3 linked regions of the Mus musculus genome follow. The protein of the gene in region 1 purifies or fractionates together with the protein of each later gene. This does not show direct contact. Links are inferred from orthologs where the notes say so. Each region holds a gene or a part of one and is shown in the gene's direction. Other genes may lie near its edges.

Evidence for each region.
Region 2: the proteins of Slc30a5 (region 1) and Csgalnact2 purify together in Homo sapiens (co-immunoprecipitation; 3 studies listed by BioGRID and IntAct, counting the BioPlex papers as one, with this or other methods). This does not show direct contact. The link is inferred for Mus musculus from reciprocal best matches to the Homo sapiens genes SLC30A5 and CSGALNACT2.
Region 3: the proteins of Slc30a5 (region 1) and Slc30a6 purify together in Homo sapiens (co-immunoprecipitation; 5 studies listed by BioGRID and IntAct, with this or other methods). This does not show direct contact. The link is inferred for Mus musculus from reciprocal best matches to the Homo sapiens genes SLC30A5 and SLC30A6.

What each region holds. Positions count from the first base shown.
Region 1 is NC_000079.6:100,812,879-100,816,529, reverse strand, and holds part of Slc30a5 (zinc transporter 5), read left to right. Parts: intron 1-1,763; coding exon 1,764-1,934; intron 1,935-2,558; coding exon 2,559-2,847; intron 2,848-3,023; coding exon 3,024-3,232; intron 3,233-3,651. UniProt on the Homo sapiens protein: Together with SLC30A6 forms a functional proton-coupled zinc ion antiporter mediating zinc entry into the lumen of organelles along the secretory pathway.
Region 2 is NC_000072.6:118,136,584-118,140,334, reverse strand, and holds the start of Csgalnact2 (chondroitin sulfate N-acetylgalactosaminyltransferase 2), read left to right. Parts: upstream 1-1,194; 5' UTR 1,195-1,312; intron 1,313-1,504; exon of another isoform or gene 1,505-1,709; intron 1,710-1,730; exon of another isoform or gene 1,731-1,822; intron 1,823-3,751. UniProt on the Homo sapiens protein: Transfers 1,4-N-acetylgalactosamine (GalNAc) from UDP-GalNAc to the non-reducing end of glucuronic acid (GlcUA). Required for addition of the first GalNAc to the core tetrasaccharide linker and for elongation of chondroitin chains.
Region 3 is NC_000083.6:74,408,969-74,412,619, forward strand, and holds part of Slc30a6 (zinc transporter 6), read left to right. Parts: intron 1-384; coding exon 385-420; intron 421-1,365; coding exon 1,366-1,460; intron 1,461-3,305; coding exon 3,306-3,354; intron 3,355-3,638; coding exon 3,639-3,651. UniProt on the Homo sapiens protein: Has probably no intrinsic transporter activity but together with SLC30A5 forms a functional zinc ion:proton antiporter heterodimer, mediating zinc entry into the lumen of organelles along the secretory pathway.

The sequences.
Region 1 (3,651 bases):
TACTGAAAATGGGCAGTCTCCAGATATAGATAAGAATTAACAAGGCCTAGAGAATTTTGGGGTCAGTGACACTACATTAGCCTTGAGGCGTATCAAGAGTTAACTACCCTGAGGCTTTTAACTCTTTGTGTAAAACTCTTGCCTGGCAGAAAGTGCTAATCTCTAATGTAAACATTTATCTGGTCCCTACAAATTCCCTTTGTAGTCACTCCCCTTGCATCTGTGCTAATCTCTAGTGTTATACATTTATCTGGTTCCTTTTGAAGTCACTCCTTTTGCACCTAGAAAAATTCAATGTGCCTTGTTCTGCAATTTATTCTGTATTATAAAAGTCTGATGCTCGACTGGAAAATTACATTCAGATCCAACACCATTCTCGCGTGTTTGGCTGTCTGTCACGCCATCCTAATCTTGCCCATCTACTCTAGAGACTCTTTTCTACTCAGGCATAGGGTCTGCGGCAGGGGACAGGACCTTGTGTAGCCCAGGCTGTCGAGAACCTGATGCGTAGCCAGAGATGACCCTCCTACCTTTACCTCTAAACCTGCATCACAGTGGAGTCTATAATTCTTAAATTTCATTTATACCTAACACATGCTGTTACTCCTAGCACTGAGGAGACAAGAGGATCTCTAATTCCAGGCCAGCCTGGGCTACATCATCAATACTGTCCAAAAACTATATTTAAACTAACTTATCTCAGGGCTGAAGAGATGGCTCAGCCGTTAAGAGCTTTTGCTGTTCTCCACAGGACTTGTTTGATCCCCTGCACCCACATGGCAGCTCACAACCATCTGTAACTCTAGTCCCAGGGGAACCAGTGCACCAGGCATGCAGGTGGTGTACAGACATACATGTAGACAAAACATTGTACACATAACACTTTTTTTTTTTTTTTTTTGTTTTTCGAGACAGGGTTTCTCTGTGCAGCCCTGGCTGTCCTGGAACTCACTTTGTAGACCAGGCTGGCCTCAAACTCAGAAATCTGCCTGCCTCTGCCTTCCAAGTGCTACGATTAAAGGTGTGTGCCACCACGCCCAGTTCACATGACACTTTTAAAACATGAAAATTTATCAGAGCATAATTGTTTCTCAGCCCTACCAAGTACAGAGTGCATAGCTCAGTGATAGGAGTGTTTCCTGTCCTGGGCAAACCAGCACAGATCCTTAGCACTATAAAGTTACGATGCTAAGGTTACTACTAAATACAAAACACTGCCTGTCATTTACATAATTAAATAATTGAGGGTATGGGAAGGGGCTGGGGAAATAGTTCCATTGCTTCAGATATATATTCAAGAATTGAACAATGGCGGCTGAAGCTATGGCTCAGTGGTTAAGAGTGCTTACTGGTCTTACAAAAAGGACCTGTTCCCAGCACCTGAAAACCATCGGTAACTCCAGTTACAGGAGGTCTCTGGCCTCTTCTGCCCTCCGGTGTGTGCACTTACGCTTGTGCACACACGTGCAAAGACTCATTTTATACACACACACATAACACAGTGCAAGGAATGTAGATCAGTGGGTAGAGTGCCTGCCTAACATGTACAGGGTCCTTGGTTCAGTCCTCCATATTAGGAAACAAAGAAAGGCAGACAGATCTCTGAGTTTGAGGTCACCCTGGGCTTCACAGCAAGTTCTAAGCCAGCTGTGGCTGCATAGTGAGGCTCGTCTCAAAATTTTAAATAACGTAAATCTGTAGGGAGATGAGTATGACAGACAGTATGTGTGGTTTTAATGAGACTTTTGTCGTTTCACTCATAGGGTGGAGTACTCTTGCTGGTGCTGGCTTTATGTTGTAAAGTTGGTTTTCATACGGCTTCCAGAAAGCTCTCTATAGATGTTGGTGGAGCTAAGCGCCTTCAGGCCTTATCTCAGCTTGTTTCTGTGTTTCTCCTGTGCCCATGGGTGATTGTTCTTTCTGTGACGACTGAGGTAAGGCTGAGAGTTACTGGTAACAAGTAAAGTGAGTTACTATTGGAAAGAAATTTCAATTCAGACATTTTTTTCAGGCTTTATGGGACAGGTTTTCTCTGTGTGGCCTTGGCTGTCCTGTAATTTGCTCCATAGACCAGGGCGGCCCCAACCTCTGCCTCCCAGGTGCTGGGACTAAAGGCAAGTGCTGCCACCACCACTTGGCTTAGTTCCAAATTTTTTTAATCTAAGACTGACAATGGCTTAAATTATCCTTGCTTTTTCTTTAGTCCCCCCCCCCATTGGAGTTAATTTTAATTGTTTATAAAAGTGTAAGTCAAATACTCTTATATTTGCATATAATTTACATTCTTATGATCCAAAGGCACCTGTGAAGAAAACTCAGTTAATCTTAAACTCAGAGATTTTGGCTACTTATTATTTATAAAATTCAGCAACAGTGGGGGTTTGTTGTTAATACCCTGGAGAACCCTGGGAAAATGTACCACTATTTTGTGACTCTTACATGCTGGCATTTTGTGACTCATACTGAGCCTGAGTATTTCTGTTTGTGTATACGCTGATGAGCTTTGTCTCTGTAGAACACTGACTGTGGGTTGTGGTGTTTGTGTTTTTCTCTTCTAGAGTAAGGTTGAGTCTTGGTTCTCTCTCATCATGCCTTTCACCACAGTCATCTTTTTTGTCATGATCCTGGATTTCTATATGGATTCTGTTTGTTCAGTCAAAATGGACGTGTCCAAATGTGCCCGCTATGGGTCCTTTCCCATTTTTATTAGTGCCCTCCTGTTTGGAAATTTCTGGACACACCCAATAACAGACCAACTCCGGGCTATGAACAGAGCAGCACACCAGGAGAGCACAGAGCACGTCCTGTCTGGAGGAGTGGTAGTGAGCGCTGTGTTCTTCATTTTGTGTAAGCATTTGCCCAAATTTTTATTTTCATTAATCTACTTTTATGGTTTCTGATGTTTAAGCCTTCAGTTTAGAAATTGTTGAGCACTTACAATTTAGTACTCAATTTAGAAAGTGACCGTGTTGGTGGCTTAAACATTCAAAACATGCATACCATTCTCTTTTTTCTCTTTGTAGCGGCCAACATTCTATCATCTCCCTCTAAGAGAGGACAGAAAGGTACCCTTATTGGATATTCTCCTGAAGGAACACCACTCTATCACTTCATGGGGGACGCTTTTCAGCACAGCTCTCAGTCGGTGCCTAGGTTCATTAAGGACTCACTAAAGCAGGTTCTCGAGGAGAGCGACTCTAGGCAGATCTTTTACTTCTTGTGCTTGAATCTGGTAAGATTGTTAAATAGCAGTGCTATATTTTTAAAGCACGGTGTTTTTATTTTGAGAGGATGTGTAATTTTAGTACTTTACAAGTTTCTGCTGAGTTTACATTTTTCTCTAGTTGGTAACAATGATCCTATTCAAACAAGGCAAACAATCTTTGCAGTATTGTAGAAATTCTGTGTTAAATCAGTAGTAGCTTGTAAGAGGCAGAGCTGCCTCGTAATAGGATGTCAGGATATACCACTGATGCTGACATTTTAGAGCCTCTTCTGTTGATTTCGACAGACATACAAATCAAACAACTGCCTTTTAGTTTGTAAAATGCCTAAATCTGGCTAGCTTGCTTACTTATAATCTATATGAAATACAGTTTCCAGCATTAAAGTTTTAAGCACATCTTCAAAGAAGGTTTGGGTAGAGGTTAA
Region 2 (3,751 bases), on another chromosome or scaffold:
AGTGCTAGGACTATAGGCAGATGTCACACCTGGCTTCTGGGGACTTCTCAGAAACTGTTAATGAAATGTCAAGTGTAACGTAGGCACACAGTAGATGTGGGCTTGGACTAACAGTGCCAAAGCTGGAGTCTGGCATCGTGGCTCGCTAAGATTTCAGTGAGGTGCCATTTATATCTACTTTATTAATACATTAGAGAATTTTTGCCTTATCTTGGAAATTTAGCAGTGCTGGGCACTTAACCATTTGCTAAAGGTCCCCATGTTCCAAGTCTCCTAGGAGAGAATTCTCCTGCCTCCCTGCACTCATACTTAGGACTGTGGCTGGTAGACAGCAGGCAGCTAACCCACGTGGACTGTCTTTTGTGATTGTACTAGAGAAGATGGATGTCTGAGGGGACTTCAAGGTGCGTCCTAAAGAAGCAGCTGTCCAAGGGAGACACTTTGTTCCTGACCACAGCTGGCTCTATTGGCTGACAGTTGTTGAGATATCTTCTGCCCAGATGTTCTCCTCTAATGCCACAAGGGAAATCCTGAAAACTTTAACGGTCTGGATCACCTACTTCTAAGATAGGCTTGCTGACTGCATATCCAGTCTCTTTCCAACTTTGCCAGTGTGTGCTTTTCTGAAAAGGCTAGACTTCACACACACACACACACACACACACACACACACACACACACACACGGTACTTTACATGCAGCAAATGGAATTATTTATTTTAAGTAAAAACACGTAAGGACCTCTTCAGTGTTCAGTACCGATCTTCCCTGAGCAGAAGGCATGTTGGCTATCCTCAGCCTCCCCGCTAGTCAGCTCTGCCAGGTTAGCACTTATGTGACGATTAGCCACATGCGTGTCTAGTTAAGTGTCTCTAAGGCATGATGTTCCCAGGCTATTTATCCCACAGGGCTTGAGCACCCATCTCAGTTGTTGTTTGTTTGTTTGTTTTTAGATGAATCAACTGTCATCTGTGGAGCTTTCTGTGCAGGGCACAGGACAGAAGAGGGAGGAATAGGCGTGTCCTAGCTGGAAAGAGAAAGGCCTGGCCCTGGAGGGCGGGACTTGGCAGTGTGGAGGGCGGAGCCCGGCTGCGGTGGGCTGGGTCTGGCCCTGGAGGGCGGAGTCTGGCTGTGGAGGGCGGGGCCTGACCGCGGAGGCGGGCGCGCCACAGCAACCCAGCCTCATTTCCCTCATTTCCTCGCGCGCGCCGGAAGTGGCGGTGCTCCGCGGCGGCGCGCCGGGCCGGCCCCGCGCAGGGCGCTGGCCAGGTGTGCAGGTCCCCAGAGGCGGCGACGCTGAGCGGCGGGCGCGGTGAGTACCGCCGTGTCCTGCCGCGCCTCTGGGCAGCGGCCGGTCCCCTCGGACGAGCCCTCCGGGACGCCGCTGGGCGCGGCGCTTCCTTGACGCGCCCTCCCGAGGCTGGTCCCGTTTTGGAGACCGCTGCTGCCAGGGACCGCTGGTTTGCGTGTCAGGTTTTTTTTTTAACCTCCTCGTCATCATCTCTGCTGAGTGGCTAAACTTTTTACTGTGGGGTTGAACGCGCCCACTGGCAGCAGCCCTCCTGCCTCTGACAAAACGCTCCCCTTTAAAAGATGCTCTTGGAGTAGGAATTGATGATCGCCGGAACCTGGATAAAAACCAAAAACGGAGAACTGTCAGAAGGACCAGATAGTTTAGAAAATTCCTGCATTTCTGAGCAACTGGCTGGGTAATTTGTCAAATACCACAGCGGTACTTGTGTTTGTGATGATGACATTGGCGGCATGACAGTTTGGTTACAAATCTAACGCTTTTCTTCTTAAGTCCTCATTAAATCTGAAGGTGTGCTTTAGCTTGTTTTTGAAATGTACATGCAGTGTCCTGACAGTTCATGCCACTGAAGGCCCCTGGGCCTTTAATACCTTGGGGATTAATGCCATCTCTTAAAGGTGCATTTAAAAAAGCACCTCTGATTTCCGAAGTAATAAAAAGGTGTTTTATGGCATAATATTCGGGAATATTTGCTACTATCTTTTTTAAATTATGTGACTAAAAGAATATAAAAAGGGTGTTGTGTTTTCAGTATATGAGGCTTAGAAGTGTTGATATTAAACAACCAGCTTTAGTTTCAGATAATTAAGAAATTACTGTTTATCCATCTACACTCCTTTTGTAGTGGTATAAAATATAAAAAAACGTCAACAAATGCATGAAAATGAACTGTCTGTGAATCATTACATGCTTCTTACCTTGTCTGCTGCTACACACATCAGATTTTAATTGTACAACATTCCCATAGTGCTCTGCTTCTTCCAAATAGGTTACCCCTGCTTCCCCATTAAGAGTTCTGACTTCTTTCATCAGCCATTAGTTTGGACTATTTTAAGCTTCATGTTAATGGAGTTAATATATAGTATTCTCAGAATATTGCTGTGGAAGTCACTGTTCGTGTTTTTTGATATGATATCATTCATATCATGGTATGGTGTTGATAATTCTTTCTTATAGTGTAATGTGCCATTCTGTGATGTGATTGTTCTTCTGTTCATGAATGTGTGCTTCCAGATTTGTGTATTATTTGTTTTAGGTTTTAGGGGTGTTATAACATTCTTGTGAATGTCTTAGTATGTGAATACATTTCTGTCAGATGTAAAATGGCTGAGACCTACAATAGGAAAAAAATTACATCCTAACTAACGTGGACTCTTTCTTTTTTAAAAGATTATCTTAACTAATACAGAAGTGAAGGTTGGTTTTAAAAATATGAGTTAAGGCATGGTGGTGCACACCTTTCATCCCAGCACGCAGGAGGCAGAGGACAGTGTATCTCTGTGAGTTCCAGGCCAGCCAAGAATATATACCCTGAGACCCTGTCTCAAACACATGTATAGTCATTAAGCTACTATTTGCACTTTGTATTGGCACAAGTGACCATCTTCTCAAAGACTCATTTCATTTAACTGTCTTTTACCCTCAAGTCAGTTAGAGCAGGCCACGATATGACTGTTCAGTTTGATAACAGTTAGGTAACCATGTTGCTCAAGTTAGTGGTTGTTAAGGGGAAGTGTGGTAGCTGGTAGGAGAAATGAAGCACCAAAGGACAGCACTAAAGATGGGTTAGAAAAATCGAGAGCTCAAGACATAGTCACTGTCACTCCACAAGTACTAGCTGTAAGTGTAAAGCTGAATTATAAGGTTAGTTCCAGATGTGGATTTTTTTATATTAGTATTGTTATTTAAATAACAGAACAATAATCACTAAATATCTGTAGGAAGCCAGCATGTCATTTGCACAAATACAAGAAGTTGAGTTTTAAACATTAGTACTCTCAAGTTTGGAAAGGTGCTTTGCCCACTGAACGAACACACACACACACACACACACAAAATCACTTAGTTTTGGAATATTGAAACACAGAACGTAACAAAGAATACCTAAGACACAGGTCTGGAACAGCCAATAAACACATACACACCTACAGAGACAGAGATAGACATCAGGGAACAGGACAGGATACTGGCAAGCATAGGTCAACCTTTCCCTTTCCAATTTCTGGTTTCCTCCTCTGTGGGCAGAGATGATCTGAAAGTATGACCTTTTAGAGAGCATGTGGAAAGGTACCTGTGCTAGCAGCTCCTGGATTCCACTCTCCTAGCAACACACAGAAGATGCCTAATATGTATCAAGGAAATAATATTTCTAAAAGCAGAAGTGTAGAAGTTTATGAGTGAATTGATACACCAAAACTCTTAATATTGTTGAAGATACAT
Region 3 (3,651 bases), on another chromosome or scaffold:
TTGGAAATATGACAGAATCCAGTGAGACATAGTGGTTTGAGTAGTATGCAGATTACCAGGGACAGTGTTCAAGCTCTGCTAGTATAATTTCTTCCTTTGGTAAAACTAACTCCAGTCATAGGTGAATCTGAATGGAAGAGGCTCAGCCTGGCATGTGTTTAAACTTCCTTACCAAGCCATTGAAATGGGAGTGGGGGGGGGCTTGGTAGAGAAATGTCGACATTGCATACTGAGAATAACTTGTTAGTCTCCTGGCCTCATCACCACTAATAGATTTAAGAACTTTAGGGTAGATTAATTATATATTTATAGTAACTGTAAGTAATGCATGTTTATAGTTTTATAACTTATGTAACTAATTTGATGTATTTTTCTTTCTTCTAGTGCAGAACGCTTTTTGGAGCAGCCCGAGATACACACGTAAGATGGGTTATTTATTTATTTCTTGTAGCTCTGGGATCTGTCTAATCTCAGAGCATCATGCATGCTAGGGAAATAGTCTACTGCTGACACTTATCCCCAGCCAAAGATTTTATTGGGGGAGGGGGGAATTCTGTTAATTTTGATTCCAATTTCTAGTTGCTCCATTATTTTTTGTTGTTGTTGTTGTTTTTTTGTTTTTGTTTTTCAAGACAGGGTTTCTCTGTGTAGCCCTGGCTGTCCTGGTACTCACTTTGTAGACCAGGCTGGCCTCGAACTCAGAAATCCACCTGCCTTTGCCTCCCAAGTGCTGGGATTAAAGGCGTGGGCCCCCACGCCCGGCCAGTTGCTCCATTATTACTTTGTTCAGCATCAGAGGTGAGAGTACAGCCCTGTATCTTATCACTGGCCTCTCAGGAAGAGAGCCTCCAAATCCTGGGACTCCCTCTCGTCTTTGACAGTTCCCAGACTCTGGGCTTTGTAGTGGCACAGAAAGGATTTTGTATCTTCAGAGGTCAGCACACTCATCAGCTCCCTCTGGTGTTTGTCACTTCATATTTAACCCCCAAATCTCTGCTTGCTGCCTTTAGAAAAGAATGCACTTAACTCCCACTGCTTAGCAACTCCGCAGGCCTTACCTGTTAATTCAGGCTCATCTGACTTATCCAGGATGTTGGCACAACTTCCATTAACATTTGTATAAACCCACAGCAGTAAAATGATTCATGAGAAAACACTGTTGATGGTAAGAGACCAGTCTAGACCTGTGTAAAATGGAGCGGCAGCATGCAAGACATGAGCTAGGTAACTAGAAAACAAGCTGGACTCTGTTGGGCCGACTTAAAGTGGATCGCTCTTCCCTTCTTTCCCTCATTCTCTCCACATATGAAATTACAGACTGGAATTATCAAGAAAACATTGAAGGGGATGTTTTGCTCTTTCTAGGGGAAGATTGTTAGTTGGTACTTTTGTGGCCCTTTCTTTCAACCTGTTCACGATGCTTTCTATTCGGAATAAGCCTTTTGCTTACGTCTCTGAAGGTATGTTATGTTTTTTTATTTGCTCATTTTAGTTTACAGTTAATTAAAAAACATTTTTATAAAAACTGGTGGTTTCTTTTTTCATAAACTTGTAAATCTGTGAGAAATATGTTTAGCAGAGAAGGAAGAGCTAGCCCAAAGGTTCTCAAGTGTTTGTTTGTTTGTTTGTTTGTTTGTTTTCTGAGACAAGGTTTCTCTTTGTAGCCTTGACTTTCTTTTCTTTTTTCTTTTTTCTTTTTTTTTAATTAATTTATTTATTATATGTAAGTACACTGAAGCTCTCTTCAGACACCCCAGAAAAGAGTCTCAGATCTCATTATGGATGGTTGTGAGCCACCATGTGGTTGTTGGGATTTGAACTCAGGACCTTTGGAAGAGAAGTCAGTGTTCTTATTCACTGAGCCATCTCTCCAGCCCTAGCCTTGACTATCTTGGAACTCACTCTGTAGACCAGGCTGGTTTTGAGCTTAGAGATCACCTGCCTCTGCCTCCTGAGTGCTGGAGTTAAAGATGTGCCTCCCTCCCCACCCTGCAAGCTAGCTACTGAAGTCTATGTGGAAGATTGTACAGATTATCATCTCGGTAGTAAACACTGAAAAGAATATATAAAAGCCAGTGCGCTGGCTTTGAACTAGGTGATATATGAACAACTACAGGTTTATCTAGGCATGGCGGCACATGCCTACAGTCCCAGAACATGAGAAGCTGAGGCAAGAGGATTGTAGTTCCAAGCCACTTTGTGCTACACAGTGGCACAGGCCAGCCACGGCTGCTTACTGAGACCCTGCCTCCAACAAAACAAATGAAAGGCGTCTCTTTTAGGCAGTTTCTCAACTTTGCCCGTATAAACTGCTGATGCTCTTCAGAGCCTTTAATGTTTGCAATCTCATTAACCGGCAAAGGATTTAGCTATTAACTCATGGGGACGTGAGTGGGTACGCAGAGCTGCCTCGACACAGGACACAGATAGATGATGTTCTGTAGGCCTCTGGACTCGAGCAGCACAGCAGACAGTGGAGAGAGCTTTCTGAGGTACTCACTCGTATCCCAGCAGTCCCACAGGTATCAGGAAGACAAAACTCTGCATCAGTCAGAAGTTCAGAGTGACAGGTGTTTACTCATCTCCCCATAGTCGCCGAAGCAAAGACTTTATTATCCTCATTTTACCCCAAGGCGTTCGGAGGTTAAGTCATTTGCCAAAGGCCACTCTCCTGGTCACAGGCTGAGCTGGAACTTGCAGGTAGATATTCTGGTGTCACTGCCTTCTCCTTAGTGCCGTGCCAGTGTTTTATAGAGAGCTTGCCGATCTCATTACAACATGGTCTTGTTATAGAATGAGTGTCAGTGATGGCGCACGCCTTTAATCCCAGCACTTGGGAGGCAGAGGCAGGTGGATTTCTGAGGCCAGCCTGGTCTACAAAGTGAGTTCCAGGACAGCCAGGGCTACACAGAGAAACCCTGCCTCGAAAAAACCAAAACCAAAACAAAAAAGAATATAGATTTGCAAGGAGAGCTGTACTGTGTGGCATAAAGGTCAGAGAACAACCTGAGTCAGTCCTTTTCTTCCACCACTTAGAGGCATCTTGCATCCCTGAAATGTGACATTAAAAGCACCGTAATGTGTAAGGTACTCACTCCTTCCAGTCAGCTATGCATCAAAGGTGAAACTGCTTCAGACTTAGTCCTTGTCATGAAAAAGGTTAAAGCTGGAGATTTGAGGAGAAAGTTTGCCCTTTGCCGTATTACATGGTCACTGCCGAACTTATTTTTAAAATGAAAGAATTTGTGTTTCCAGTGATGGTTTTATTTTTCTATATAGATAATTTAAGTATTTTCTCCTTAAAGCTGCTAGTACGAGCTGGCTTCAGGAGCACGTGGCAGACCTTAGCCGCAGGTAAGATGCGCTGCAGTTTGCTGGCTTGTGTAATTTAACGAGTCTCTCTGAGAAGAGTCTCCACCATGGGGGCTTAGATCTGCAGCTGGAGTCTTTGCACGAGCTGCTCAGGTCAGTTCTCGGTCTCTCTGGGCTTGTTAACTGATGCCAGAGGAATTCTGCACAGTGGCCAAGCTTTGTCCCCGAGTCCTCCTTGCTCTCTGAGGAGTACAGTGCCCCTCACCTGCAGTATGCTTTCACTGATGTCACGGGGATACTAATGAACTCTTTTTGGTCTTCCGCAGCTTGTGTGGCCTT